Macaca mulatta: one gene and its partners. The protein of the gene in region 5 purifies or fractionates together with the protein of the main gene of each other region. This does not show direct contact. Links are inferred from orthologs where the notes say so. Each region holds a gene or a part of one and is shown on either strand. Other genes may lie near its edges. The genes, in order: RAB4A, RAB8A, RAB10, RAB8B, GDI2, RAB1B and RAB1A.

What was found.
Region 1: the proteins of GDI2 (region 5) and RAB4A purify together in Homo sapiens (co-immunoprecipitation; 3 studies listed by BioGRID and IntAct, with this or other methods). This does not show direct contact. The link is inferred for Macaca mulatta from reciprocal best matches to the Homo sapiens genes GDI2 and RAB4A.
Region 2: the proteins of GDI2 (region 5) and RAB8A purify together in Homo sapiens (co-immunoprecipitation; 5 studies listed by BioGRID and IntAct, with this or other methods). This does not show direct contact. The link is inferred for Macaca mulatta from reciprocal best matches to the Homo sapiens genes GDI2 and RAB8A.
Region 3: the proteins of GDI2 (region 5) and RAB10 purify together in Homo sapiens (co-immunoprecipitation; 3 studies listed by BioGRID and IntAct, with this or other methods). This does not show direct contact. The link is inferred for Macaca mulatta from reciprocal best matches to the Homo sapiens genes GDI2 and RAB10.
Region 4: the proteins of GDI2 (region 5) and RAB8B purify together in Homo sapiens (affinity purification with mass spectrometry; 3 studies listed by BioGRID and IntAct, with this or other methods). This does not show direct contact. The link is inferred for Macaca mulatta from reciprocal best matches to the Homo sapiens genes GDI2 and RAB8B.
Region 6: the proteins of GDI2 (region 5) and RAB1B purify together in Homo sapiens (affinity purification with mass spectrometry; 3 studies listed by BioGRID and IntAct, counting the BioPlex papers as one, with this or other methods). This does not show direct contact. The link is inferred for Macaca mulatta from reciprocal best matches to the Homo sapiens genes GDI2 and RAB1B.
Region 7: the proteins of GDI2 (region 5) and RAB1A purify together in Homo sapiens (affinity purification with mass spectrometry; 6 studies listed by BioGRID and IntAct, counting the BioPlex papers as one, with this or other methods). This does not show direct contact. The link is inferred for Macaca mulatta from reciprocal best matches to the Homo sapiens genes GDI2 and RAB1A.

The regions. Positions count from the first base shown.
Region 1 is NC_133406.1:19,757,053-19,760,552, reverse strand, and holds part of RAB4A (ras-related protein Rab-4A), read left to right. Parts: intron 1-863; coding exon 864-978; intron 979-3,500. UniProt on the Homo sapiens protein: The small GTPases Rab are key regulators of intracellular membrane trafficking, from the formation of transport vesicles to their fusion with membranes.
Region 2 is NC_133424.1:16,585,546-16,589,642, reverse strand, and holds the start of RAB8A (ras-related protein Rab-8A), read right to left. Parts: upstream 2,801-4,097; 5' UTR 2,788-2,800; coding exon 2,664-2,787; intron 2,314-2,663; exon of another isoform or gene 1,722-2,313; intron 1-1,721. UniProt on the Homo sapiens protein: The small GTPases Rab are key regulators of intracellular membrane trafficking, from the formation of transport vesicles to their fusion with membranes.
Region 3 is NC_133418.1:98,862,983-98,866,482, forward strand, and holds part of RAB10 (ras-related protein Rab-10), read right to left. Parts: intron 3,407-3,500; coding exon 3,305-3,406; intron 1-3,304. UniProt on the Homo sapiens protein: The small GTPases Rab are key regulators of intracellular membrane trafficking, from the formation of transport vesicles to their fusion with membranes.
Region 4 is NC_133412.1:40,520,678-40,524,886, reverse strand, and holds the start of RAB8B (ras-related protein Rab-8B), read right to left. Parts: upstream 2,801-4,209; 5' UTR 2,715-2,800; coding exon 2,591-2,714; intron 1-2,590. UniProt on the Homo sapiens protein: The small GTPases Rab are key regulators of intracellular membrane trafficking, from the formation of transport vesicles to their fusion with membranes.
Region 5 is NC_133414.1:7,371,540-7,375,784, forward strand, and holds the start of GDI2 (rab GDP dissociation inhibitor beta), read right to left. Parts: upstream 2,801-4,245; 5' UTR 2,623-2,800; coding exon 2,578-2,622; intron 1-2,577. UniProt on the Homo sapiens protein: GDP-dissociation inhibitor preventing the GDP to GTP exchange of most Rab proteins. By keeping these small GTPases in their inactive GDP-bound form regulates intracellular membrane trafficking.
Region 6 is NC_133419.1:8,138,660-8,141,990, reverse strand, and holds the end of RAB1B (ras-related protein Rab-1B), read left to right. Parts: intron 1-1,182; coding exon 1,183-1,314; intron 1,315-1,408; coding exon 1,409-1,603; 3' UTR 1,604-2,831; downstream 2,832-3,331. UniProt on the Homo sapiens protein: The small GTPases Rab are key regulators of intracellular membrane trafficking, from the formation of transport vesicles to their fusion with membranes.
Region 7 is NC_133418.1:59,583,319-59,587,313, forward strand, and holds the start of RAB1A (ras-related protein Rab-1A), read left to right. Parts: upstream 1-1,195; 5' UTR 1,196-1,376; coding exon 1,377-1,399; intron 1,400-3,995. UniProt on the Homo sapiens protein: The small GTPases Rab are key regulators of intracellular membrane trafficking, from the formation of transport vesicles to their fusion with membranes.

The DNA of each region.
Region 1 (3,500 bases), on a different chromosome or scaffold from region 5:
TGAATAATAAATCCAGTTGCCAAGTGGCATCCCTGATCCCTGGAAAAATTAAATTTTGTTCTGCAATTACAAAATACAAACTAGCCAATGGACTGTATAGCCATGATATTCAATTTTAGCTTATCTGTTCATCATCACCGAAATGTTCTTTCATAGGCAGTGTATTCCCGCTGGGTTTAGCAAAATACTTATTTTGCCTCTCTCCTGCCCATTCAAATAGTACTAATTTCTCCAACAAATTCATCCCAAATCATTTCCATAGAACACTACAATTAATAAAAGCTCAAACACCTGTAGATCGCATAGGGTTTTGTTTTGGGCTTTGTTGGAGGGTGTTTTGGGCTTTGTTGGAGGGTGTTTATTCTTTGGTTCAATTTTTTTCCTCCTTTTCCCTTTTCCCCTGCTTTTCCTTCCATTCACTGTTATTTCTTTAGAATATTTAACCATTCAAATACAGTAGTTGAAACTGTCTCCACCTCATTACTTACTGAGTTCCAGACCTGTCACTGGGCGTTACGCCCTTCAGAATGGTACCTGGTACGTCAGCAGTCGCCATCTGTGAGCATCTTCACAGCGCACAATTGCATGTGGTTCGGGTATGGCAGGGCTACCTTCAGGCATAGGTTTTTAAATGTATGATTTGTTTAGGGGTTTTGAGAAAAATCTTTATGTCTGTTGGAGAATAGGGGCTATGTGTATTATCTTTTAAACTAAATGCATCTTCTCAGTGGAATGTTGGAGAAATGAATGGCTAACGTCCATTCCCCATTGGTGTAACTCTTGGTTTTAGTGTCACTTGTTTAAATTTATAAGCCTGTTAATGTTCTAAAATTAAATATGCTGTTCTTGTTTTTCTTTTTTAGTCAAAGATGACTCAAATCATACAATAGGAGTGGAATTTGGTTCAAAGATAATAAATGTTGGTGGTAAATATGTAAAGTTACAAATATGGGATACAGCAGGACAAGAACGATTCAGGTAGCTTTTCTCTAACTTAATAAAAATATTTGAAAATTTGATTTGAAATACTTGATGATATTCTCTCAATATGTAAGGTCTCATCCCCTCCCCAACACACCCCTTCCTTGTCCTAATCTCAGAAACTTCATTTTTGGAAACTTTGCTTGACAAGACAGCTAAAATTCAGGTTAGCTCTGTGCAGCATGGATTACTAAAGAATACAGGAGGATTTCCAGGCAACCGCATTATCATTCGGAGGCTGACCCGTTCTCAGGAGGATGTGACACTGTGTATTGTACAGTATGTTTCTAGATTCACATCAAAGCACAAGCTTGTTTTTCTGTGTTCCTTTTTTAAAGAAGAACTTTTTAAAACCTCTTGTGAGGGTTTGTTTTGTTTTACATTAACTAGAGCATGTTCTGATGTTTGATACACACTCCACAAAATATTCTCTCCACACTTTTATTACAATAGGGTCATAATTGAGGCTCAGAATGACTTCAGCACTGCAAATGAGGTTACATGTTTAGTATTCTGTAACTACTAAAGTAAGAAAATAGATGAATATTTCAGTTGTGTTTTTTGCACAGATGCACAGTCAGAGCAGATAGTTTTATAATTCAGTGAAATCCACCCCATTTGTAAACGTTTCACTTAAAGTTGAGTATATATCTTATATTAAATAATTGAAGTTTGGCCGGGCACAGTGGCTCATGCCTGTAATCCCAGCACTTTGGGAGGCCGAGGTAGACTTCCTCACCTGAGGTCAGGAGTTCAAGACCAGCCTGGCCAACATGGTATAACCCCTTCTCTACTAAAAATAAAAATAATTAGCTGGACGTGGCGGCAGGTGCCTGTAATCCCAGCTACTCTGGAGGCTGAGGCAGGAAAATCGCTTGAACCTGGGAAGTGGAGGTTGCAGTGAGCTGAAATCATGCCATTGTAGTCCAGCCTGGGCAACAAGAACAAAACTCTGTCTCAAAAATTAATTAAGTAATTGAAGTTCAATAATTGCTTCAAAAATACCATAACCACCTTTAATCACCATCATTTTTCTGGAAGCATTGATTAAACACGGTGGATTCAATTAGACATGTATGCCTTTTCCTTCTCAGAACCCCACTGAAATATCTATTAAGTAACTGAAATTGAATTAATACAAAAAGGCCAAGATTGAGAGAGTGCACAATTATGGTTGAGAGATTTCCAAAAAATTTCTTAAAGATAGGAAGTAGATGGTGCTGTGACAGCAGAAGGAGCTCTGCCTTAAGTGCTGTAATGGGGGAAGCCATTTCTTCCTCCGGAGTCCCAGAAAAGGTCAGCATTTGGAAGCATCAGGTTCTACAGGAGGTAGACGTTACAGAGGTTCATGTTTACACACGAAATAAGAGGTTCAGTCTTTTACGTTGAAATGGGGTCTAGACTCAAGGTCATAAGGCCCACCTGAGGGCACGGGGTCAGGCCTGAAAAGAGAGAAATTAAGTGAAAGTGAAAGCCTCTGGCCCCCAACCGCCCCCCCACCGCCCCCTGCCGCCCACCTCTTCCCTGGTCACTGGCAGCCAGGTGTGTATGTCCCACATAGGAGAAAAGAGAAAAGAGCCTTCTCTAGAAAAATGAATAGTCGGAAAGGAAAGACTTGAAGGTACTGTGTTTTGCTTTCCCAGAGAAACAGCCCCATCTCTATCCAGTCATCTGACAGTGAAACCCTCCAAGCCCACCCGCTTCACCCACACATAAAGAGCTGCTTTTAGACTTTTTCATTCCTTGCTCTTAATGATCAGGCAGAAATTTGAAGAAAGTTTCTACAGCAAAAGAAAGAGCTCAAAGTAAAGAAGCTAGAACTTTCAGGGAATAAGAAAATCACACTAAAACCACAGTATCCTCAGAAAGAAGAGCAGAGATTGCATTGAAGTAAGTAATAGAAACAAAGTCATACTTAAAAAGAGCAATCAGAATAATAAGTAAACTCATGGTGAAAAATGGGAGAGATGACGTAAAGAATCATTCAGAATTAATCCAGAAGATGCAATGCCTGACTATTAGGAGTTCCAGAAGAGAGAAGAGCAGAGGAAACAATAGAAGAAAACGTTTCACTGAAGGAATGAGATTCCAGATTAATTGGCCCACCTAAAATCAAACATAGTAAGGAAAAAGTCCAGACCAGAGCATGTCATGTGAAATTTCAGAACACCAGAGATGAAGTAAAGGAGACCAAAAAGGTTCCAAGAGGGAAAAAGCAGCCACATATACAGTGTGAGAAATGGAATTGCTTTGAACCCTGCCACAGCAACATTGGAGGCTAAAAGAAATGGAAGTATTGCCTTCAAAACTCAGGGTGAAATAATTCTTCAACCTAAAATTCTAAACTTAGCCAAACTGTAACTGTGCGAGTAAAGGCTGAATACCAACAGATGTGCAAGAATGAGCAGGAAGCCAAGATTATCTTTCTTAGAGACTTCTTAGAAATGTACTTTCTTAGAAAGTTTAGGAGGATATACTTCACCAGGACAAGGGCATGAACCGAGAAAGGGGAAAATGAA
Region 2 (4,097 bases), on a different chromosome or scaffold from region 5:
CAGTGGCTCATGCTTGTAATGCCAGCACTTTGGGAGGCCAAGGTGGGCGGATCATGAGGTCAGGAGTTCGAGACCAGCCTGGCCAACGTGGTGAAACCCTGTCTCTACTAAAAAAAAAAAAAAAAAAAAAAATACAAAAATTAGCTGGGCATGGTGGTGGGCACTTGTAATCCCAGGTACTCAGGAGGCTGAAACAGGAGAATTGCTGGAACCTGAGAGGCGGAGGTTGTAGCGAGCCGAGATTATGCCACTGCACTCCAGACTGGGTGACAGAGCGAGACTCCATCTCAAAAAAAAAAGAGGGGGGGTTTGTGGGGAAGGTGCTGAGGCCGGGAAACTGGGATCTGAGTGAAGGCAAGCCACAGTCTGCCCACAGTTAACATAATTTCTTTCTTTCTTTCTTTTAAGATAGGGTCTCGCTCTGTTGCCCAGGCTGGAGTGCAGTGGCGCCATCACAGCTCACTGCACCTTGACCTCCTGGGCTCAATCAATCCTCCCATCTCGGCCTCCCAAGTGGCTGGGTCTATACGGGTAAGCCAGTATGCCCGGCTAATTTTATTTTATTTTTTATAGAGATGGGGTTTTGCTATGTTGCCCAGGCTGAATTAACGCCACTTCTTGATCGGCTGGGGCACAAGAGTTACCCTAAAGTTTGGCCTTGGAGTTGGGGAGGGGGAAGAATTCAGAACCATCTGTCTTCAGAGGCTGGATGCTGTCACTGCAGGAGCCATTCATTCATTTGCTTCTTCGAGATGGCCTCTGGTTACGGTGATAACCCCTTATTGTCTAATTCTAATCCTCAACCACCAGGGCACTAGCCCAGGAGACAGCGTCACTCCTGCTCTAAAGACAGCAGGGCTCAGAGAGGGGCAGTGTATGTTCAAGGGCAAACAGCAATTGGAAACCAGACGTAACGATTTCCAGTCAGTTCTCTCTACTTTACATCAGGCATATAACTGTTTTATAAAGCACAGCTATCCTGGGTGCAGTGGCTTATGCTTGTAATCCCAGCACTTCGGGAGGCCAAGGTAGGTGGATCACAAGGTCATGAGTTTGAGACCAGCCTGACCAACATAGTGAAACTCATATTTACTAAAAATACAAAAATTAGCTGGACGTGGTGGCGGGTGCCTATAGTCCCAGCTACTAGAGAGGCTGAGGCAGGAGAATTGCTTGAACCCGAGAGGCGGAGGTTGCAGTGACCCGAGATAGCACCACTGGATTCCAGCCTGGGCAAAACAGCTAGACTCCATCTCAAAAAATAAAATAAAATAAAATAGAATAAAATAAAATAAAATAAAAAAAGCACAGCTCCTGGAGGGGGGCAAGAATGGAATCAGCACATTATCGTGGGGTTCAGGGAGAAAACATGATTCTGTTGAAGTGACACAGTAAAGCAAAGGCCATTCCCTACGTTTTCGTGACTTGGAATAAACTCCTTAGTGACCGTTCCCCCATTTTCCCCATCCCTAGCAGGGCTACAGAGCTCCCAGGCCACTCAGACTGGTGTTACTCCCCGGTCTAACCTTTTCATTGTGGGCCAGGACTGCTTTTGTGGCACTGAGAGAGGTCAGTTCCACTTCTGCAGACGGCACAACTGAGATGCACCAAGCCAATTCTGTTCAACCACAATGTGGGCTGGCCCTACGGGAAAAGCTGTTCTAAAGTGACAACCGGAGTCTTGGGCCCTTTGATAGGGAAGTCAAGGCTGTCTGTGGCAGTGGCTGATTTAGTTGCTCGCTGAGGCTTTTATCTTGCATCTTCTTGCAGATGACAGGTTCCAGGGCAGGCAGTGCTGTCACTTGTCATTACTGTCATCCTGGAGCAGGATGAAATGTGGGCAGGGAAAAGGTCCTGACTCCTCTTATCATTCCTTCTAGAGGAAAATACACTTATGAGGGGAAGAATGGTCAGGGAGAGGGGTTCAACTTCTGAATACTCCAGAGAAAAGAGCAGGAATGGTGTGGGTTACAGTTCCGGCTCCAAGGTGCATTAGCTGAGCTTGTCATCAGCTGGGAGTGTGAGGTGGCATCTCTCTAGGATAGCTAAGCCTCGAGTTTTGGGTTGAGACACAGCCAGGTTCAAATTCCATCAAATCCCATTCTCACCACCTGCAGACTGTGTGGCCTTGGGCAAGTTCCAGGCCCACCCTGAGCCTCAAATTCCTCATCTGTGAGACGGGCTCAAAACAGCACTTAACACCGAGAACTGGAGAGTGTGAAAATGCACGGGAAGCACTTGGCACATAGTAAATGCTCATTAAGGTGAGATGTCACCGTCTTTTTCCCATGGCCAATTCCCCATGACTCAGTTTCCACTTCTGTAAGGCAGGAGCCTCAAAAGAACCGCTTTGAGGGCTGCTGCTAGGACAGATCGAGAGGACGGGCGCGAAGACCCCAGCCCAGGACATAACACTCCCTAACGAGCGGGCTGAGGGTCGGAGCCTCAGTCTCCCCATCTGCAAAATGGGCACCTGGTCTCCCCCACCACGGCCCAGGAACCTCCGAACGGCGGTACAGGCGACTGCTCTTCTCCCCTTAGGCCCCCTCGACCCTCTCAGCGCCCTCGGCCAGTCCAGCCCGGTAGATCCCTCAGCCCCAGCCCCTCAGGGGCGCGCCCAGCCCGGGCCTCTGGCGCCCCCAGCCACTCCCCGGTCCCGCTACCTATGGTGGAGATAAAAGTGGAGTTGAAGGCGTCCTCGGAGAAGCGGAACAGGACACAGGTCTTCCCCACCCCCGAGTCCCCGATCAGCAGCAGCTTGAACAGGTAATCGTAGGTCTTCGCCATATTACACTCTCTCCCCGACGGGAAGTGCGGCCAGCGCCTCTCCACTGGCCACCAGCACCGTCCATCAGCGCCGAGCCCGCCCCTTATTGGCTCCAGGCCCGCTGCGCGTCACCGCGGCCGACGCCCGCCCCTGCGTCCCGCCAGTCGCGGGGAGACCTGGGGAGGGGGCGAATGGAGCGCGGAGCCGGAAGCAGCCCGAGCGCACCTCCCATTGGCCGGCACTAGGGAGAGGACGGGCTCTGATTGACCAGCAGTGAAGAGTCGTGGGGCTTCAAATGGGGACGAGGCGGGGGCGTGGCATTATGTGGCCCCCGCCTTCCACCCCCTACTCGGGCGCCCCGGCCCCGCCCCACTACAGGAGAGGGAAGGCAGGGAGCGTCGCCAACGGCTCGCGCGCCGGCAGCCTGGGGGGCGGGGCTTGGGGTGCGTGCGCACGAGCGCCCGGAGTTCCGTTAGGCGACGGCAGAGGGCGCAATCCTGTACTTGGGGCGGGTATCTCTGGGTCCCGCCGTCACAACTCGCGCAGGCGCAATAGGCCCCGAGGCGAGCGCGGGAAACCATGGTAGCGCTCTCAACCTGATCTGCGGCCTCCGAGTCGGGGCAGCGGGGGCCGACGGAGGAAGGAGAGAGGAGACACTGTATACTCGAAAAGTGACCCGGGCCGGGCGCGGTGGCTGAAATCCCAGAACTTTGGGAGGCCTAGGCGCGTGGATCACGAGGTCAGGAGTTCAAGACCAGCCTGGCCAAGATGGTGAAACCCCATTTCTACTAAAAATACAAAAATTAGCCGGGCGTGGTGGCGGGCGCCTGTAATCCCAGCTACTTGGGAGGCTGAGGCAGAGAATTGCTTGAATCTGGGAGGCGGAGGTTGCAGTGAGCCGAGATCGCGCCTTTGCACTCAAGCCTGGGCGACAGAGCAAGACTCCATCTCAAAAATAAATAAATAAATAAAAGTGACCCAAGACGAGTTCCGAGGTCTGCGGCCTAGCGACCTGCTTACAGATACCCAAGGCCTCCGCCACCTGAGCGGCTTCACCGCCACAAGCTATGCCCCGAAGCGCGCGCCGGCCTCCTCAGGGTCCGCCCTCGGCCGCTTTAGGAGTTGTCCGGGCCAGCCCGGGGGGTTTAGAACAGTGAGGATGCTTTAGAACAGTGAGGATGCTTGTTCCTATCTAGGGGCCAGGACTCTCAACACTGAAAAAACAGGCCGGGGCTGTGGCTGCCACCTGTGATCCCAGTGCTTTGGGAGGCCAGGAGTTTGAGGCTGCAGTAAGCGGTGATCGTCCCACTGCACTCCAGCATGGACGACA
Region 3 (3,500 bases), on a different chromosome or scaffold from region 5:
TATTAGTATACTAATACTTTAACCTTTAATAATGATAATAAGGAAAGCTCTACCTCACTGGGGCACAAAATTATATATATAATGGCTATATAGCACTATTTAAAAAAAAAAAAAAAAAAAAAAAGCCAAGACTGATGAGAAGATCAAAGGACATAGTATAGATAGAAACTAAGCAGAAACCACGAAGACCAAAAAGCCCAGAAAGAGAAAGGACATAGAGCCAAGAGTGTTTCACTAGGTCTTGTGGTAACTCCTGCCAGTCTTATCCTGGTCTTTAACTCGACTGTGAATACTGGATAATGTTTCATCCTGACCCACCAATGTCTGAAATACAAAGTACCTTCAACCAATTTTAAAAGAAGTATTTTTCTATTTCTTTTATTCCCTTCATTTAATTAAAAATACAATTTTTGGTACGTGGCTCACACCTGTAATTCCAACACTTTGGGAAGCCAGGGCGAGAGGTTCCCTTAAGGCCACGAGTTCAAGACCTGCCTGGACAACACAGTGAGACCCCTATCTCTACCAAAAAATCTGAAAATTAGTGAGGGATAGTGATGTGTCCTCGTGGTCCTAAGCTACTCAGAAAGCTGAAGCAGGAGGATGACTTGAGCCCAGGAGTTCAAATCTAGCTTGGGAAACAAAGATCCCATCAATTAAAAAAAAAAAAAAAGAGAGAGACCGAGCTAGGCTTGATGGCAGACCCCTGTGGACCCAGCTACTAGTGTATCACTGGAGGCCAGGAGTTTGAGGCTACAGCCAGCATGATCACACTTACGAACAGCCACTACACTTCAGCCCTGGGCAACATAGTGAGACCCTGTCTCAAAAAGAAAACAAAAAAAAAAGTCAGAAAGAAACACATTTTTTCCTAGTTGTATTCTTCTATTCTTTTGCTCTTCAAAAGAACAATAAATAATATAGATTTTCTCAAGAAATTCTAATGGGTTCACCTTAATTGTGAAAGACTGTTCTTTTAAAAAAATCTTAAAATTGCTTATAATTCAAAAAAGAAACCTGTTGAAATTTCAAAACTAAACTGCCTATAGTCAGTACATGAATCTGCCCTATGATCTCTCCCCCTTACCACCATCACTCTCTTGGAGTGCTATTTGGAGTTTGGTATCTACCCTTCCAGTTCTCCATTTGCTAAAAATAAAATGTATCTGCATGTACATATGTCTGTTTGGTATATCATATAATCTTGAAAAATGAGATCACTTCACATTTTATATCCTTTTTTTTTTTTTTGAGACGGAGTCTCGCTCTGTCGCCCACGCTGGAGTGCAGTGGCGTGATCTCGGCTCACTGCAAGCTCCGCCTCCTGGGTTCACACCATTCTCCTGCCTCAGCCTTCCCAGTAGCTGGGACTACAGGCGCCCGCCACCACGCCCGGCTAATTTTTTGTATTCTTAGTAGAGACGGGGCTTCACCGGGTTAGCCAGGATGGTCTCAATCTCTTGACCTCGTGATCCGCCCGCCTCAGCCTCCCAAAGTGCTGGGATTACAGGCATGAGCCACAGTGCCCAGCCCCTAATTTGCTTTTTATCACTCAATACACACACTATGGAGATCTTTTATACTTAGTTTAATTGTTGTCAGCCTCTCTCATTCTCTGAAATAAAATTCAATTTTTGATCTGACTGGATTCTCATAGAAAAACATCTCCTAAAGCAGGAAGTCCCAAAACATGATATGCAAAGGAAGCTGGCAGATTCAAAAGGGCACCCATTTTTTAGCCCCATTAAAGAGCAATAACTGATGACTGTTTTTTCCAGTTTGAATATTCAATTGTAGTAAACAGATACCTACATTTCACTCTAAAAATTAGGTCCCTTGGTTTTAGTCACTCTATATAAAGAATTTACTTCAATGTAAGTATTTCAACTCAATCTCTTGTAATTGCTCAGAAATTTCACTAGATTTATATGTGACATACCACCTTTATTACAGCTAATGTCTCTGTCCTTCCAAAGTGGAGAAAGAAAAAAAACTGGTTGGTTAAGAAAATGTAAAAACAAACATCTACCTTTTATATAGGTCGGTTTTAGAAAAAATATTAATATTTCAAATATAAAAATAGAAAGGTTACCAAATGTAATTACATTTTCTACTATACAACATCTGCTTCTCTTTTAGGATGTGTGTCAGATTTTTTTTTTTTTTTTTGAGATGGAGTCTTGGTCTGTTGCCAGGCTGGCGTGCAGTGGCGTTATCTCGGCTCACTGCAACCTCTGACTCCCTGGTTCAAGGGATTCTTCTGCCTCAGCCTCCAAAGAAGCTGGGATTACAGGCATGTGCCACCACACCCAGCTAATTTTTGTATTTTTAGTAGAGATGGGGTTTCACTGTGTTGGCCAGGATGGTCTCATCTCCTGACCTCGTGATCCGCCTGCCTCAGCCTCCCAAAATGCTGGGATTAGAGATGTGAGCCACCGCGCCTGGCCAATGTATGTCAGATTTTATCTGTATTTATTTGCATTTAAAATTACAACAGATTGAACAGATAATTCAGAATTCATAACCAAATCCATGCATTATACCTAGTCACTTGAGGGAAAATATGAAAATCGGATTTCCTAATTTGGCTACATGTTACTTATACTAGCAAATATTGAGAGTCACAAATCTTAAGCCCAGAAACAAACCTGAGGTAAAACATGCATTCCTCAAGATCACATTTTCAGCATTATTTATTTTCTTACATAATAGGTTTTATTCAGTATGTACAGAATATGTACATGCCCTTTATTTGCCTGAGAAGTGACTAATATGGCAGAATAGCAATTCTGTGGCAATAACTACTTAATAGATTCATTTCTTATCTTAAAATTTCCTAAATTATCTGAGACTGCAAAGTACTCATTAAGAGAAATGAATCCAATAATAAAAAGGCTAGAAAAGATGAAAAACTGGAAAAAATAATGGAACTAGGGACTAGACAGTGACTGTGGAGCTTGCTACCTGAGCTTCGCCTCCCGTCAGATCAGTGGTAGCATTAGATTCTCACAGGAGTGCAAACCCCACTGTGAACTGCACGTGCAAGGGATCTACATTGCACGCTCCTTAGGAAGATCTAACGCCTCATGATCTGAGGTGGGGCAGTTTCACCCAATACGGTCCATGGAAAAATTATCTTCCACAAAACCAGTGCTTGGTGCCAAAAAAGCTGGGGACTGCTGCCCTACAGAAACAATACCACCCAAACTCAAATTCTGTATGTAAATACAGTACTTCAGAATAGACAAAATATTCAACAGAGATACACTCAGGTACCTGGCAGGAAGTAAAAATAGGAACCTACCTTTCGAAGGATATCTTCAGCTAACGTGAGGAACGCCTTTTCGATGTTTATATTTGCTTTTGCACTAGTCTCAAAAAACCTAATACCATGCTCCCTTGCAATCTAAAACAGAAACAAAATATCATCATAAAATTATCAAGCATGGGTTGCCAATTGCTGACTTTAACATCTTAAATATTAATCTTATTCTGAAGGC
Region 4 (4,209 bases), on a different chromosome or scaffold from region 5:
TGAGGGGCATGCAGGGAGTGGCTGCTAGAGATGTCAACACCCAAAATCTATACTTGTAATCAGTGAAGAGTCTGTGGAACCAGAATGATGCTAACATTCACCTTATTTTCCCAGCTTAATTTTGACTGCAGAGCATTAGGTTTCAGGTATATAAATTCTGCTGTTTGAAGGCAGTGTGCTACCACTTCCTGTTGGAGCTCTGGGGCTAAATAAGAGGTACGGGATTTCCCCTCCTCCACGTCAACTGAAGACACAGCTCACAGCCTCTTTTTACCACATCCACCTCACAGAAAATATAAAGACCAAGATCTCACATGAGATTCACCTCCTTTTCATGTTCACTTCCTATTCTAATCTGTTTCAGAGCACTGGTTTTCATGCCTTCATAGCTGTCACCCTCCAAAGAACCTCATTTCCATCATTTTTTGAAATCCACTGATAGACTTGAACCCTTCAAAATGAAAAGTAATTTTTAAAAGGTACTATTTTAAAAGGAAGCAGACACCCTTAAAGGAAACATGGGACAAAAATTAAGGAAAAAACAGAAAATGAATAAAGCTATCACAAACAAGCAAGTTATCCAAGAAGCTTAACAAAAACAGCATCAGTGAGATTCACTTACTTTCAAGGCAGGAGATACTTCTGGGAGGCTCAAATACAGAATGGACAAAAGGACACCCACTCAACTTGTTAGAAATTATCCTTTACCATCTGTACTGCAGTATGCATTCAACAATGAAAAGTCATTATTTGAGGCTTTGAAATTAATACCAGTGTCAAAAATTAACGCCCTTTAGTTGCTGTACCAGCAGCTACCACCAAATCTTAGGAATATACTTTAGAGATGACATTTAAAATCTGCTTTTTCAGAAAAGAAAAAGTCCCACTCAAGACTGACTGCCAAGAACTTGCAATTCAAACTTCCTTAAGCCCAGACATCATAACACCCAGGAGATTTTAGACCATTCAAGCTATATGAAAGAAGCCAGAATGAGCAAACAAACCATAGCCTTTTCTAATACTTAAAGAGTGTTCTACACCAAATACTCTTTTTTAAAAAAAAGATAAATTATTTTTAAAAATACACAAATATTTAAACACACGTATTACCAAAGCACTAGCTCTCTATTATTTCCCAACCCAGAAATTCATGGGGAAATATGCTCTAAGAACCATATGAAAGATGCCTAAATAAGCCACTATTAGAGGCCAGAAACATCACCAAGACAACCAAAAGCTGAGATATTCTTAAGGTACTTAATTAACCTGCAGCTATTTAACAGGAGAAATGATGTTAAGGTGGTCACTTCTAAGACAGCTTAAAACCAGCTTTGACTTGGTCTTCAGTTTATGGTAAGTTAAGAGATTTTGTTACCTGAACACAGGGTCTTCCAGTACAAAAGTAGAAAGGACAGCTCCCAGCCAAGATCAGAAAGACTCTTGAATCAATTGGAAGTAACTTAGAGGTGTATCACATGTTGTGATTCATTTAACAATAATTAGAACCAAAGCAAAATATACAGGGAGGCAGGTAGAACATAAGATCAATTCCTTGGCTGAGAAGTTGTTAAACATTCAAACCCAAGGATTTAAAATACTGAGAAGTCTTGCTTCTCAGGAGATCATAGTAAAGAGGTGAACCATATTTTCCTGACCACATCATTTCCAAAAGTCACCAATTCCCTTAACATCCATTAACACTCACAGAACAAATTAACGCTCTACAGACATTATTCCATCATTAGTCACATTTTGCTTTCTCCTGCACTTGATCCAAAGGAAGTAAAGAGAACATGGTAATCAGTTACTGGAGCAAGTCCTGCGCCCCACTACTTTCCATTTCCTCTCTTTTCCATCTCCTCTGTCTTCTCTGCTCAACCTCCCTTTACTATGATGTTGCTTCCTCTTTTCCTTTCTGTCTCACACCCAGATCTCCTTTACTTTCTCCACCAAGTATCCTCATTCCGCCCTCTAATCCCTTGAACTCTTCTTCCACCTACAATTTTCTTCTGCCCCCTCCTACGACATCTCGGTCCAGACCTCCTGTGGCCAGCCGTCCCCTTCTTCCTCACCTCCTGACCGCTCATTCCCCTGAATTCCCTTCCAGTTGCCTGGTTCTCACCTCTCTGTCCCTTGTGTCCTCTGTCCCTTTACTTCACATCCCTCTCATTGCCCCATCCCTCATTTCCCCCTTCACATTTCCTTCCTCTCCTGTCTTTTAATCCATTTGCACGTCCACTATCCCCTTCTCTCTCTACACGAGATTTCCTGCGTCTTCCCCCAACACATTTTGTCCCTCAAAGACCCCTCCCTGTCAGTCTGCAAACCCTCTCGTTCCCCCAATACCCCTAGTCCTTGTTCCTCTGTTCCCCTTCCCCTTCCTTTGCCCCCAAGTTACCCCTTCGCCCTAGCCTCACGTTCCCGCTCGCCCCTCTCCCTCAAACGCCCTCGCCCCTCTCAGTGCCCCCGCCACCTTGCAGTCCCCGGGATCTCCTCTCCCGGGCTCCCAAGCGCCCCCCGCCCTCTCCCCGTCCCCTCGTACCCGCCCCCCAATTCTCTCCCCGGTCCCGGGCCGCGGCCCCTCCCTCACCGATGGTGGAGATGAAGGTGGTGTTGAAGGCGTCCTCTGAGAAGCGGAACAGGAGGCAGGTCTTGCCCACCCCCGAGTCGCCGATCAGCAGCAGCTTGAAGAGATAATCGTACGTCTTCGCCATCTTCTCGCTCCGGCCCTCTGACCGGGGAGCCAGAGGAGGCAGTGGAGAGAAGCGAGGAGGGGGCCGCGGGCGAGGGGGCGTGCCCGCCAATCCGCCGCTGCTCGCTCCGCCCCGCGCCCCGCCCCTCCTCTCAGAGAAGGCCTGCGCGCCCCTCCCCGTGAGGCCAATCCGCGAGGGCTTCGTCATCACCGCCCGCGCCCCGGGGCTTCATGGGACTTGTAGTTCCTCCCGGGAGCCTCGGGCGTGCCCCGCGCGGACTGTCCAGGCGGCTCCAGCGGATAAAAGACCTGCTATGGGCGGGGTGACAGGGTGGAGGCGTTTCCACCCGAGCTGGGAAGGGACGCCCCGTTTCGAACTCTGCTGGTAGGGCCACCGGAACTTAACTTTGTAATTTCTTTGTGTGCGGGCGCCTTCCAAATCCAGGACCTCAGAATCAGAGTCCCGTAGTTCCCGCATCTCTTCCGCCGAGACCTGGAGCAGAGATGCTTTCTTTCCTTGGCGCTGCTGTGGCGCAGCCTACGGGTTATCTGCAGAGTGCATTATCCAGCTTCTCCCCCAGGCCATGCCCAGAACCACTATAACCCCCCTCCGGCAGCCCCTCAGTCACAGAGCTGAGAAAGAATGGTTACCATGCTAACTCGAACCTCACTCGTGCCCCCTTCTTCAAGCCACACAGACCAGAGCCAAATACGATGAGTATTCAAAGAATCTTTTACGCTGATCGCTCCTCTCTCCTCGCAGGAGGATGGATTTTTAAATCTGGGAAACCTTGTGCTACAGGTCTGTGCCCCATAAAACTGCAAGCGTCCTGTGAGGCGGGAACCGGGCCACGGGAATTTAGAGAGTAAGATTTCAATTTAGTCTTGGGTTTGCTGCATAACCGCTGTGACAAGTCACGCAAACACTGTACTTTTCAGTTTTCTCATCTGTAAAATGGATATGAAACAAGATACTTCATAGGGTTCTAGTGAAACTTAAATACTAAATGTGGAAGTTCTTTGAAACCCATAAGGCACTGTTAGCATTGATGGTAATATTCATTAGTCTTCAGTAGGCTCTCACTTAACTGATGACGAATATAGGGGGAAACAGTATTCTGTTATACTCAAGTTAATCCTTTATTATTTATTGTCTTAGGCTAATTCTTTGTTTTGTGGGTGTATTGTTCAGTCCCCTTTCATTTGCTAGTGGCAGAAACCCAACCGGATTAGCTGTTGTGAAAAGGGAGTTGACTGGTTCAGGTAATGTGGAAGCAAAAGGCTAAGGAGGTGTGGGACCAGGAGTCTACCCTGCCAGGGCTCTCTGTCTCTCATCTGTTGTTCTCCCTTGAAAGTTTTAATTTCTAATATGTCAAATACGGACAGATAAAACCCACATAAACAAAAGCTTCTTGGAGTCTTCAATAATTTTTAAGAGGATAAAGGGGTCTTGAAACCAAAATGTTTAAGAACCTCTGGTCCAGACGTTTACCATTTATCTTAGCTATATAAACACC
Region 5 (4,245 bases):
TTATGTTAGTTTGTTAGAGAAGTTGTGACAGCATTTAGAAAGGCATTATCCAAAAGCTGTGCTCTTTAGAGATAACCCTTAATTCCTTAGAAAATTAAATTGTGTGGAATATTCCATTTCTTTTACACACAGAATGAAGATTTTACTCCTTTATGCCAAATCATTTTGTATCTTCTTGATTAAAATGACTATCAATATTTGTGATTACGAGCTTGGACTTAACAACTCATACAAACAATGGCAGCACTAAGCAACACAGCAACTCCAGCACTTCCTTACACTTCTTTAAAAGTAACAAGTTCCTAGCACTGAAAGCACTTGCCTTTTTTTAGGTTCTTAAATCTCAGGCACTAAATATAAAGTAAATTTCAAGAAAATTAATTTAACTCCAGACACTCAAAAGTTAATTCTGAGTGCTAACTTTGGTTTTCTCTTCTTCTAATTTTTAGTCATCTAATTCCTGGTAACACTAAAAATAAGGATATAAGATTTCTCATTATCAAAATCATCCTGTCATCACTACTCCTATCAAGGATGGTAATAATGTGATTCTTCTGAATTGATATAATTATCAAAGAACATCTCAGAAAACTTAGGCAGGCTAACAGAGATTAAAGTTATCACAGCTACAAAATGACAGCAGAAATTGGTCTGATTTCTAGTTAAGTATGCATCTACCATTTATCAAAAAGTTCACAATCCAAATGAAAATTTAAACGAAGTGCATTATCTTAACTTGTTATATAAAAAGACTGTTTCACCATCTTTGATACAAAGTGATGTGAATGGGGCTTGTGGAAGCCTGCATGATGGTGGATTTGCACTCACTCGTCCATGCTCAACTGACCTCGATTGTGAGCAAATCTGAAAGACCAGCAACAACCATAGAAAAACGGTGGAACTAACCGGCTCTAACAACACGCTGGCAGCAGCACTACCCATTCCAACGGGCAAAATCCACCACAAACTACTAAGCGCAGTTTGGAATCCCAATTAGGCACTTAAAAAAAAAAGCACAAAACCTGCAGTGGGTAGGGCCTATTCATTTAGGCATCCAACAGCCTTCCAGCTTTTCAAAGACATTGACAGGATTATTCCTGAATTTGTCAAACATAACAAAGTATTCTGAATGAATATTCTCTAATAATTGCATATAACTATAAACAGAAAAATGACAGGCCAGAAAAACACCATTCTAAGTCTTAACAAACCTTTCCTAAAAAATTAGCCAAATAAAAGTTCAAAGGTTTTTTCTTGACTAGAGACATTTAAAAGTGTTATTTTGGGACGTTACCTGTAAAAAAAAAAAAAAAAAAAAACATTAGTTTGAACCTGACAGATTATAATAAATTTCAAAAAATTTGAAGTGGAAGTCTACATTAAATGACACAGGAATTTAAAGTCAGAGTACATAGGATACACAAGATTTACATCAGTATTCATCTTAATTATGATCAAGCAGCCCAAAGTTAGAATTTCAAAGTTCCCAAAAATCGATAGTTAAAATGGTTTTCTCCAAATTCTTTTGCAAGATGAAGTCTTCATAAAAAAAAAAAAAAAAAAAAAAAAAAAAAACAGAAAAAGTACAAACTACAGAACCTGCCTGCATTATCTACAGTTAACCTAAAGCTCTCTAAGCAGACACATAACCAGGAAAATCAATATACCATGGTATTAGGTACACCTTGCATTCATATATATACTACAATGCATTCTTCATGTTGTTACTGATTTATCTTCCAACTCCCTGAAGAAAGCTTCGGAGTACAGAGAACTTGGCCTTTAGCAATCCATCACCAATCCAATTCTTAGGGGAAAAGAGTCCAGAAGAGACAAAGGAGGCAGGGAACCCACCAAACAAAAGGAAAAGGCGGCGAAGGTCAGGTGCGAAAGCATTTGATAGACAAGTTTTGAAAAAACTCAATTCCAATTCTACAGATGCTCGGTAAGTGGGAAGGGAGGGTGGCTAAAAAGATTCAATAATACTTCTTATTAGCAGGGGGGAGAAAGGATTAAAAGCCTAATTTCTGCCTTTTCTCCAAAAATATAAGTTAATCAAGCCCTAGCAGTTCCGAAGCAGTGATTATCCAAGACTTGTCAGGAAACCCCGTGCTCGGCTTTGGCAGCCAGACAGACCCGGGGAAGCGGCCGAGGCGGAATAGGAAATGCAACCGCGAGGCCTGCACCGTCCCCTCCGCCTCGGGTGCTAGTTTCCAACCCGGAGAGGTCACTGGCCCAAAGTGGGGAGCGGGAGCCTCGGCCCGGGCCGCCTTCTCCCTCCACTCCGCTTCCGCAAGGGGGAAGCGCAGCGGCCGGGCTCCGCCGTTACCCCGCCCGGAGCCTCGCGGCCCGCATCTCCATTTCCCCGCCTGCCCCTCACACTGGGAGTCGCCCGATCGTCCCGGGACGCGGGGCGCCCCCAAACCCGCCCGTGCCCCCAGCCACGACTCCCGTCCCGAAAACCACGGCTGACTGCAGAACGAAACCCCCCAGGAGCTGCGACCCGCGGGCCGTGCAGGAGCCGGGGATGCGCCCGCCCCGGCTGCTCAACCCCGGCCCCTCAGCCCCGGCGCCCACCGTCAGGCCAGTGCCCAGCACGATCACGTCGTACTCCTCATTCATGGCGGGGCAGTGGCGGACGCAGAACCAGAGAAAGGAAAAGGCGCAGGGGCTCGGTGACCACCCTACGAGGCTGGGAGGCGCTCTCGGGCGCGAAGGAAACGGGAAGAGAGGAGAGGAAAATGGAGCTGGCGACAAGGCGAGACCTGCCGCCACCTCAGACGGGAAGCGAAGAACCGGGCGGGGAGAAAAGGGGAGGGGGCAGGGAGGGGAGGGCGGTGACTGAGCCTCCGCAGCCGGGGCGGGGCCTGCAGGCGCCGGGAGGGCCGCCAATCAGGCGCTTCCGGCACTCTAATTGGTTTTGTCCCCGTCACTCGCCCAACTTTTTTTCTTCCCCGCCTCTCGCGAGAGGAAAAGGGAGGGGCGTCGCCATTTTGGCTTCCGGTTCCCTTTGCGGTTTCTGCCACCGGGGTCTGGGAGGCGGCGCGTGGACCGGGGTGGAGGCGCACGGGACCGCGGGAGGGGAGTACTGCCGGCCACCACGGTTCTGACTCCCGCCGTCGGGGCGGGAGCTCGCTCGGTCCAAGGTCCCAGAGCCGGACCGCCGTCCTTGGACTTTGAGCGGGTGCTTGCGGCGGCCACGTGGGCGAGGAACGTGGGTCCGGCCGCCTCTCGCGGGTAGCGGCCTTGGTTCCTCCCGCGGGGCTGGGCTCGCCGGGGCCCGGAGCCCGCCGGGAAGAGTTCGGAAATCACACGTGTCCTGTTTCCCGCTCTGTGCCTTCCCTGTTTGGTGCGTTGCCGGTGGGCGCTTTAGGAAAGTGGTAGGAGGAAAAGCGGCTTCTTTTGCTAAAAGGAACCCTTAACGGAGATGAAAGTGAAGGCCAGGTTTCATTGGGAAGCCGATCCGCACTTACCCAGGGCTATAACTTAAAGCCACTGTAAACGTGGTAGCTGATCCTTGGATGCAAAGGTTTAGGCCCTAAGCTTAGAAACTGTACCTTGCTTGCCTTTTAACCCCCTCCTCTTTTTCTAGAATTCTCTTAGGAATCTCTAACTTCATTGAGGACACGGGTGTAAGCAGAAGCTGTGTTCTCAGCTCCAAGAGGCAAATCCCACGAAAGCCTAGGCAGGTGAATTTCCTAAAGGCGATGACAGTTGGAAAACCTGTGTTTTCAGCACGTGATAAATCTGCATAGTCAGCAGACAATGAAGATTTGGCATTCAAGAACTACTCAAATACTTCTCGGTAATAGCTATCATGAGCCTGCCTTGATAGACCGAACTTGCTCATATTTAAATCATCAAGATTGAGGAGAGAATGTAACAACTTTTAAAAATGTTTCTTAACCCGTAAATACTTGGAGAAGATGTGTTATATTGGACCATGGACCTTTTGCAAGGGGAGGGGAGAAGAAAGCAAAAGTAAAGTTTAAATTTATATTCAACCTTAATTTGATTGTGTATATTTGTCACCAAATAAATTAGTGCAAAGTTGACCATACAACTGATTATGCAACAGTGAGTGTAACTGACTTTTCTTTTGGCTAAGCTAATGATGACTAAAGAAAGTCCTTCTGTTGCTCTGTCTTCAAGTCATCAGGGGGTCATACTATACACTACCTGTATTTTTGGACCAATATGAAATACCTTTTTTTTTTTTTTTCCCCTGAGACGATCTCGCCCTGT
Region 6 (3,331 bases), on a different chromosome or scaffold from region 5:
CACTGGCTCCTGGTTGTCCAAGACTTAGCCAGGCTGAGACAGTCTGTGCTCTGGCCTCTCCCCATTCCCCGCTCTGTCCTCCCCCGTCCCCTCTCCCCTTTCCCCCTCTCCCCTTTCCCCCTTTCCCCTTTCCCCCTCTCCCCTTTCCCCCTCTCCGCTTTCCCCCTCCCTATTGAGTGCATCCCAGCAACATTCCACTTCCTCCCATTCCCCAGAGACATCATGCCCCTCCCATTCAGTGACCTGGCACATGCTGGCTCCCCAGCTGGCACCTCTCCTGCACAAGGCCAGTTCCCACCTGCAGGCTTAGGCCTGCTGTTGCTCCCACCTCAAGCAGAGGTGGTCTGGGGGCTCCCCGGTCCCTGCCTTCTAACCTGTTTTGCCCTTGTGTGTGGCCTGGTCTATTCCTCTGCTGTCCCGTGAATGTGTTAGGGCAGGACTCGGGTATGATTTCCCCCTTTGTCCCCAGCACTTAGTGCAGGACCCAACTTGGAACATGGCAAGAGTTTGAGCCAGTCTAAGTTTGAGCCAGTGTGATATCATCAGGCCTCTGGCTCCTAAGGAGGAAAAGTGGCACTAGCTTGAGCACTTTCCTGAAAGTCCTGTCCTTTGTGTGTGGGGTAGGGGCAAGCTGCTGGAAGAGTCTGAAGCCGGGTCATAAGGCTGTTGGTGCCAAAAGTAGGATGAATTTTAGGCTGTTCCCAGGAGTCCTGTCTCGCCATGGGCCAGGGCCGCCTCTGAGAGGACCCTCGACCTCCTGCGTTCCAAGGCTACAAACCTTAAAGGGATTTTTCAGGCCACGGTGGGAACTGTAACTCTTGCAGACCTGTTACTCTCTGTTCCTGTCTCCCCTCCACTCTCTCTTTGCTTCTCACATGTGGTTAGGCCTGCAAGTGTCTCGGGCAGAGACAGCTGCAGGGAGCAGAGCTGGCAGGCCTGGGTTGGAGCAGCTGTTGAGGTGCTAGGGCAGCTGGCAGGCTGCTGGGGCTCTTCTGGGTCTTGGATGGAGGAGGGCAGGGAGGAAGGTTCAGCCTGGAGCAGAGGGCTTCCTCTGCATCCCTGAGCCGAGGACTCAAGGGGCCCAGAGCTGTACTGTTCCCCTCAGAGAAGGTCTTGTTCTCCAGGTCTGGGGTAGGGGTGACAGTTGGGAGCAAAATAACTTTGGCCCCTGGCCCCCTCTAGGAGTCCTATGCCAACGTGAAGCAGTGGCTGCAGGAGATTGACCGCTACGCCAGTGAGAACGTTAATAAGCTCCTGGTGGGCAACAAGAGCGACCTCACCACCAAGAAGGTGGTGGACAACACCACAGCCAAGGTAGCAGATGGGCCGGTCTGCCTGGGCTGGGGGCGCTGGGGCCTCCTGCCCCTCACCCTGCTCTCCCCTCCTCTTCTCTCCTCTCCGTTGTCAGGAGTTTGCGGACTCTCTGGGCATCCCCTTCTTGGAGACAAGTGCCAAGAACGCCACCAATGTCGAGCAGGCGTTCATGACCATGGCTGCCGAGATCAAAAAGCGGATGGGGCCCGGAGCAGCCTCCGGGGGCGAGCGGCCCAATCTCAAGATCGACAGCACCCCTGTAAAGCCGGCTGGCGGTGGCTGTTGCTAGGAGGGGCACATGGAGTGGGACAGGAGGGGGCACCTTCTCCAGATGATGTCCCTGGGGGGGTGCAGGAGGTGCCTCCCTCTCCCTCTCCTGGGGCATTTGAGTCTGTGGCTTTGGGGTGTCCTGGGCTCCCCATCTCCCTCTGGCCCATCTGCCTGCTGCCCTGAGCCCCAGTTCTGTCAAGAGTCCCTAAGGGAGGACACTCAGGACCTGTGGTCAGGCAGGGCAGGGGCCTGCTCTGCTGCTGCCTCTAGGTGACTTTCCAAGATGCCCCCCTACACACCTTTCTTTGGAACGAGGGCTCTTCTGTCGGTCTCCCTTCCACCCCCATGTATGCTGCACTGGGTTTCTCTCCTTCCCCTTCTTCCTGCTCTCCTTCTGCCCAAGAGCTGAGGTCTCCCCGGCCTCTACTGCCCTGGCTGCAGTCAGTGCCCAGGGCCAGGAGAGTGGCCAGGGGATCCAGGACCTGGGATCCAGGGCCCTGGGCTGGACCTCAGGACAGGCATGGAGACCACAGGGGCCCAGCAGCCCACCCTTTCCTCTCCCCACTGCCTCCTTTCCCCTCCCACACTCCCAGCTCGAGCCGTCCAGCTGCGGTGGGGTCTGAGTATATCTAGGACGGGTGGGTGGGTAGCCGCACTGGGCTTGTGTCTTGAGCCTGGAGGGAGTCTGCTCCTGCCGCCCTCTGCCCTTCCAGAGACAGACCCGTGCGCTGCCTGCCCAGTGTGCCCCTTTGTCCCCACGTCAGGCAGAGGCGGAAGGCCCACTGTGCCAGAGGCTGGGCACCAGCCTTAACCTTCTGCTAGCACCTCCTCCCCTTCCCCGAGGCAGCACATCTGGCTCACTCTCCCCTGGGTCTCTGGAGCCCACCAGGGAAGGCCCTCATCCCCTGCCGCTACTTCTCTGGGGAATATGGGTTCCATCCGGGGTTGGGGGCCTCTCTGCTCATCCACTCTGCACCCAGGATCCTAGTCCCCTGCCCTCTGGCACAGCTGCTTCCTGCAGGAAAGCAAGTCTTTGGTCTCCCTGAGCAGCCATGTCCCTCGTGCTGTCTCTTGCCTGTCCCACCTGTGCCCTGCCCTCCAGCTTGTATTTAAGTCCCTGGGCTGCCCCTTGGGGTGCCCCCCCGCTCCCAGGTTCCCCTCTGGTGTCATGTCAGGCATTTTGCAAGGAAAAGCCACTTGGGGAAAGATGGAAAAGGACAAAAAAATTAATAAATTTCCATTGGCCCTCGGGTGAGCTGAGGGTTTTTGCAAGGAAGTTGTGGTGGACAAGTGTGGTCTCTGGTCTAAGTCCAGCCTTGGGGTGGGGGGATGGAACTGGAACCCTGGGCTTGATGGGGTGCACGGGGGTCCTGGCTTGGTTTCTGCATCTTAAGGCTGCTGGTGAAAGCCCTTGACCCCGTTTCCTGGGGCCAGGAAAGCTGCTTGTGCTTCTGTGGTCTGTCCCCAAGGGCCCAGCACCGTTCTGTCAGGGAGAGAGAGGGCAGCCATCAGCTCATACCTGGTGTGCCGCCGCCAACTCCCACGGGGGACACGGCAGAGGTGTGGGGTCGTGCAGCCTCTGAAAGGGCCCCCACTGCACCTGGCCCGACCTCCTTCGGCGCCCCCCAAAACCCCGCTGCCCCCATTCAGCCCATGTCCTCGCTTCGCTGTGTGTCCCAGCCAGGTGCTTCTGCCGCCTCCGACAGTGACAAGTGCCTCGCACTTCAGCCTCTGCCCTGCGCGCCCG
Region 7 (3,995 bases), on a different chromosome or scaffold from region 5:
GAGCTGATTAAAGAGAGCTGTTAAGACCACATGTTTTTAAAAAATGAGTTAATATTACTCCCAGAAATTGTAGGCACTATATAGTGATGAATTGCATGTTTTTATTGCTTATTATTTTCCAGTCTTGCAGAAAGGCTCAGGATTAGCAGCAACTACAAATAATACATTACAATTCAACCTGAAGGCTGGGACGAAGGGAGGAGGACTTGAATTTTAGGCTGGCTCTGGGCTGTGCCTCTCCCATCCATGGGATGTGGAGCCATTGAAGGTTGTGGGGTCACGATGGAGTTGCTGTCTCAGAAAGATACATTCGACTGTGTGTGCAAATGGGCTGGGGCGGAGGAGAGAGAGAGAGGTAGAGTCCATCTGGAGACTACTGCAATAGCCAGGCTGACGAGAGCGGGGCACAGTAAGAATGGGAAGAAATCCAATAAGAAAATGGTAGTGCGCGGGGCCAACAATGGACGATGACCGAATAGAGGTGGGTCTGGGTGAGTGACGAGAAGTAAAGAACTGCTCCGTGCTGTCCAGGGAGCCCCTTGACTTCCCTTCTGTCCTTAGAGCGGACGTCCTCCGACCAGCCTCCAACCAGCGCCACCAGGGTGGCGCAAGCCTCAAGCTGGTCAGGTCAGCAAAAGTCGCATGGGAGGCAGGAGCCGACACGCGTGTCCCCCGACCCCCTCTCCGCTCCCGCACGCCGGCAGTCCCTCAGTTTGACCACTCCCTCCGGTCCTTTGCCTCCCGCGACCCCCAGCCTCCGTCGGCCGCCTGCACCACCCTCCGCCCCTCTCCGCCCCCTCCTCCGTGGGGCGCTGACTCGCCCGGCTGCCACGTCTCACTGATGACATCACCAGGGCCGCTCGGTCTTAGCCAATCCGCCAGGGGGAGTCCGAGCGAAGTCCTAGCCAGCGAGTCAGAGGGGAGGGGAACAGGGAGGGGCGGAGGGTGGGGAGGTGAGGGAGTGGGGAATGGGGCGGACGACAACCCTTCAAGTACGCATGCCCCAGAGGCGCGGCGCTTGGCGGGAAGCTGAGTCCTGGCCTCAGCGCCTCACTGTCTATCCTCAGCTCGCGTAGCTGCACTCGCGACTCCCTTTCCCGGCATGCCAGGCGGTGCGGCCGCCCTCTGGGCTGTGTAAAGGCCCCTCGGTCTAAGGCTTCCCTATTTCCTGGTTCGCCGGCGGCCATTTTGGGTGGAAGCGATAGCTGAGTGGCGGCGGCTGCTGATTGTGTTCTAGGGGACAGAGTAGGGGAAGACGTTTGCTCTCCCGGAACAGCCTATCTCATTCCTTTCTTTCGATTACCCGTGGCGCGGAGAGTCAAGGCAGCGGCTGCGGCAGCAAGGGCGGCGGTGGCGGCGGCGGCAGCTGCAGTGACATGTCCAGCATGAATCCCGAATAGTGAGTTCAGGAGAGCACCGGTCGGCTGGGTCCGTGGGCCAGCTTGGGGGATTTTAAAGGGGGCGAGGAGGGTTGGGGCGGAAGTCGGGGCATCGGCTGGGGTGAGGCGAGGGTGATGGGTCAGGAGAGGCTGGCGGCCGGGAGTCGGGCCCCATTGTCTGACGCGGAGGGGCGGCCGGGCGGGGGAGGGGTCGGGTCGGAGGGGTGAGCCGCCCGGGCCTGGACCGGGTCCGGTTGGAGGGCCTGACTGCGGGGCGGGTGCTTAGGAAGTCTGCCCAGGGGCCTGAGGCGGTGTGAAGAGGTAGCTTGTCTCGGAGGCAGTGACTTTTGAAGGAGGACTTGTTTCTAAGAGGAGGGGATGGGGTGGGAGAACCCTTCTAGAGGGCACTGGCAGACCCTGCGCCCGCACTCTGCGGAGCTGTCAGGATCCTCGGGGTGGAAACCAGCTTTACTTGTAAATCCTGAGCTTGTTGGCTCTCTCTTCTTCCATCCTCCCCGCCAGGTTTCAGGTAATATGGATGCTTTTCGGGACTGCGTGGGATTGAGGGGAATGAGTAGATAGGGAGAAGCAACTGAACATTTTTTAGTTCTCTTTTTGAGTTGTGCCTTGAACGAGTTCTTTAAGAGCTCGCCGGGTCCATTGCCCTCCTAAAAACCTGGGCATTTGTGAGTTTTTTTTTTTTTTTTTTTTTTTTTTTTTTTTTTTTTAAAGAGGACACCTAAGTCATTTTGTCTTCTGTAGGTCAAGGGAAAAAAAACCCAAAAAAACAACTAAAGCCAAGGAGTGTGTTTCTGATACTCGCAGATTAAAGGAAGCTTGCTGTCAAGTTGAAAGAGAAACGAATGGGACCTATGATAGATCTGTATGTAGTTTTAGATTACCTGCTTGGATGCTTGCAGATAGGGAATGAGGTTCCATGACGTGTCATGAAAAGTTAATGCATTTCTTTTTCTTGCTTACTCAAGAAGTCACCACAGCAGATGTGACACACCTGGCACCTTTCCTGGGAACTGGTGTTCACTTCCTTTGGGTAGAGTTTGTTGGACTCTCCTCAGTGGCCATTTAAAAATTTCCTCTACAGTTTACATGTATGTAAAGTAATAAATAATTGTAAGAGACCGAATTGGTATTCCTTTTCAGTGTCAAAGGCCTTTGAGGGATGGGGGAAAATCAGTATTTGTTGTAAAAGTTGAGTTTATTTGCTGCTTTGGTCAATTACTGCTAAACATTTCCCCCTAAAAGGTCCACTCACCAGTTTAGCTGACTGTCATATGTGTGTCACATGGCTCTTGCAAAATGCTTTCTTCAAGTTTTGTAATACTGTGGCTTGATGCTGAAATCTCTTGCACTATACAGAAACCATAGTATTTTATTAGAATTTCATGCTTTAGAAGTTAAGGATAGTGTTGTTGTAGTGACATTTGCTGTGTTGACAGTTTAAAACAAATTTTTTTTTTCAAGGGCTCCAAGGACAAAGTTGGTTTTGCACAGTTGAATGGAGTTGAACTTGAGGTTCTTCATTTAGTAGTTTTCTTGGTAACAATAAAGAACATGGATTTACTGCTTTATCGAGGTTTATAGACCTCTACTGTTCAGGAAATTTTCTGAATTTGCTATATATATGTATGTTTATTACTATAAATAAATCTTCAAGATTAGTTGAGAACTTTGACAAGTTACTTAGCCTCTGAATTTTTTTCCCTTTTTGTAAAATAGGATAATTGGAGTCATTATTCCTGTCAGGGTAGTGGTGAAATTCAAATGTATATAAAAGAATTTGGAAAACTGTATGAGCATTCTTCAGGTTGTATGCATCATTTTCATGAAAGGCATTCTATTAGTACTAGGATTTAGAAATATAATCCTTGCATTTAAGAAGTTTAGATATAGGCCGGGCGCCGTGGCTTAGGTCAGTAATCCCAGCACTTTGGGAGGCCAAGGCGGGCGGATCCCGAGGTCAGGAGATCGAGACCATCCTGGCTAACACGGTGAAACCCCGCCTCTACTAAAAATACAAAAAAATTAGCCGGGCGTGGTGGTGGGCGCCTGTAGCTCCAGCTACTCAGTCTGAGGCAGGAGAATGGCGTGAACCCAGAAGGCGGAGCTTGCAGTGGGCCAAGATCGGGCCACTGCACTCCAGCCTGGGCGACAGAGCAAGACTCCGTCTCAAAGAAAAAAAAAAGAAAAAAAAAATAATTTTTTTTTTTTGAGAGGGAGTTTCAATCTTGTTGCCCAGGCTGGAGTGCAATGGCGCAAATCTTGTCTCATCGGCACCTCCGCCTCCTGGGTTCAAGTGATTCTCCTGCCTCAGCTTCCTGAGTAGCTGGGATTACAGGCATGTGCCACCACGCCCGGCAAATTTTGTATTTTTAGTAGAGACGGGGTTTCTCCATGTTGGTCAGGCTGGTCTCAAACTCCCGAGGTGATCCGCCCGCCTCAGCTTCCCAAAGTGTTGGGATTACAGGCGTGAGCCACCGCGCCCGGCAGAAATAGGTTTTATACATGTCGAATACCAGTAGATATAGCAAATTCCAGATGTATGGCATGGATGAGAGCAGCAGGATTTCAGGGGGATGGTGGGTTGTGATTGGCTAT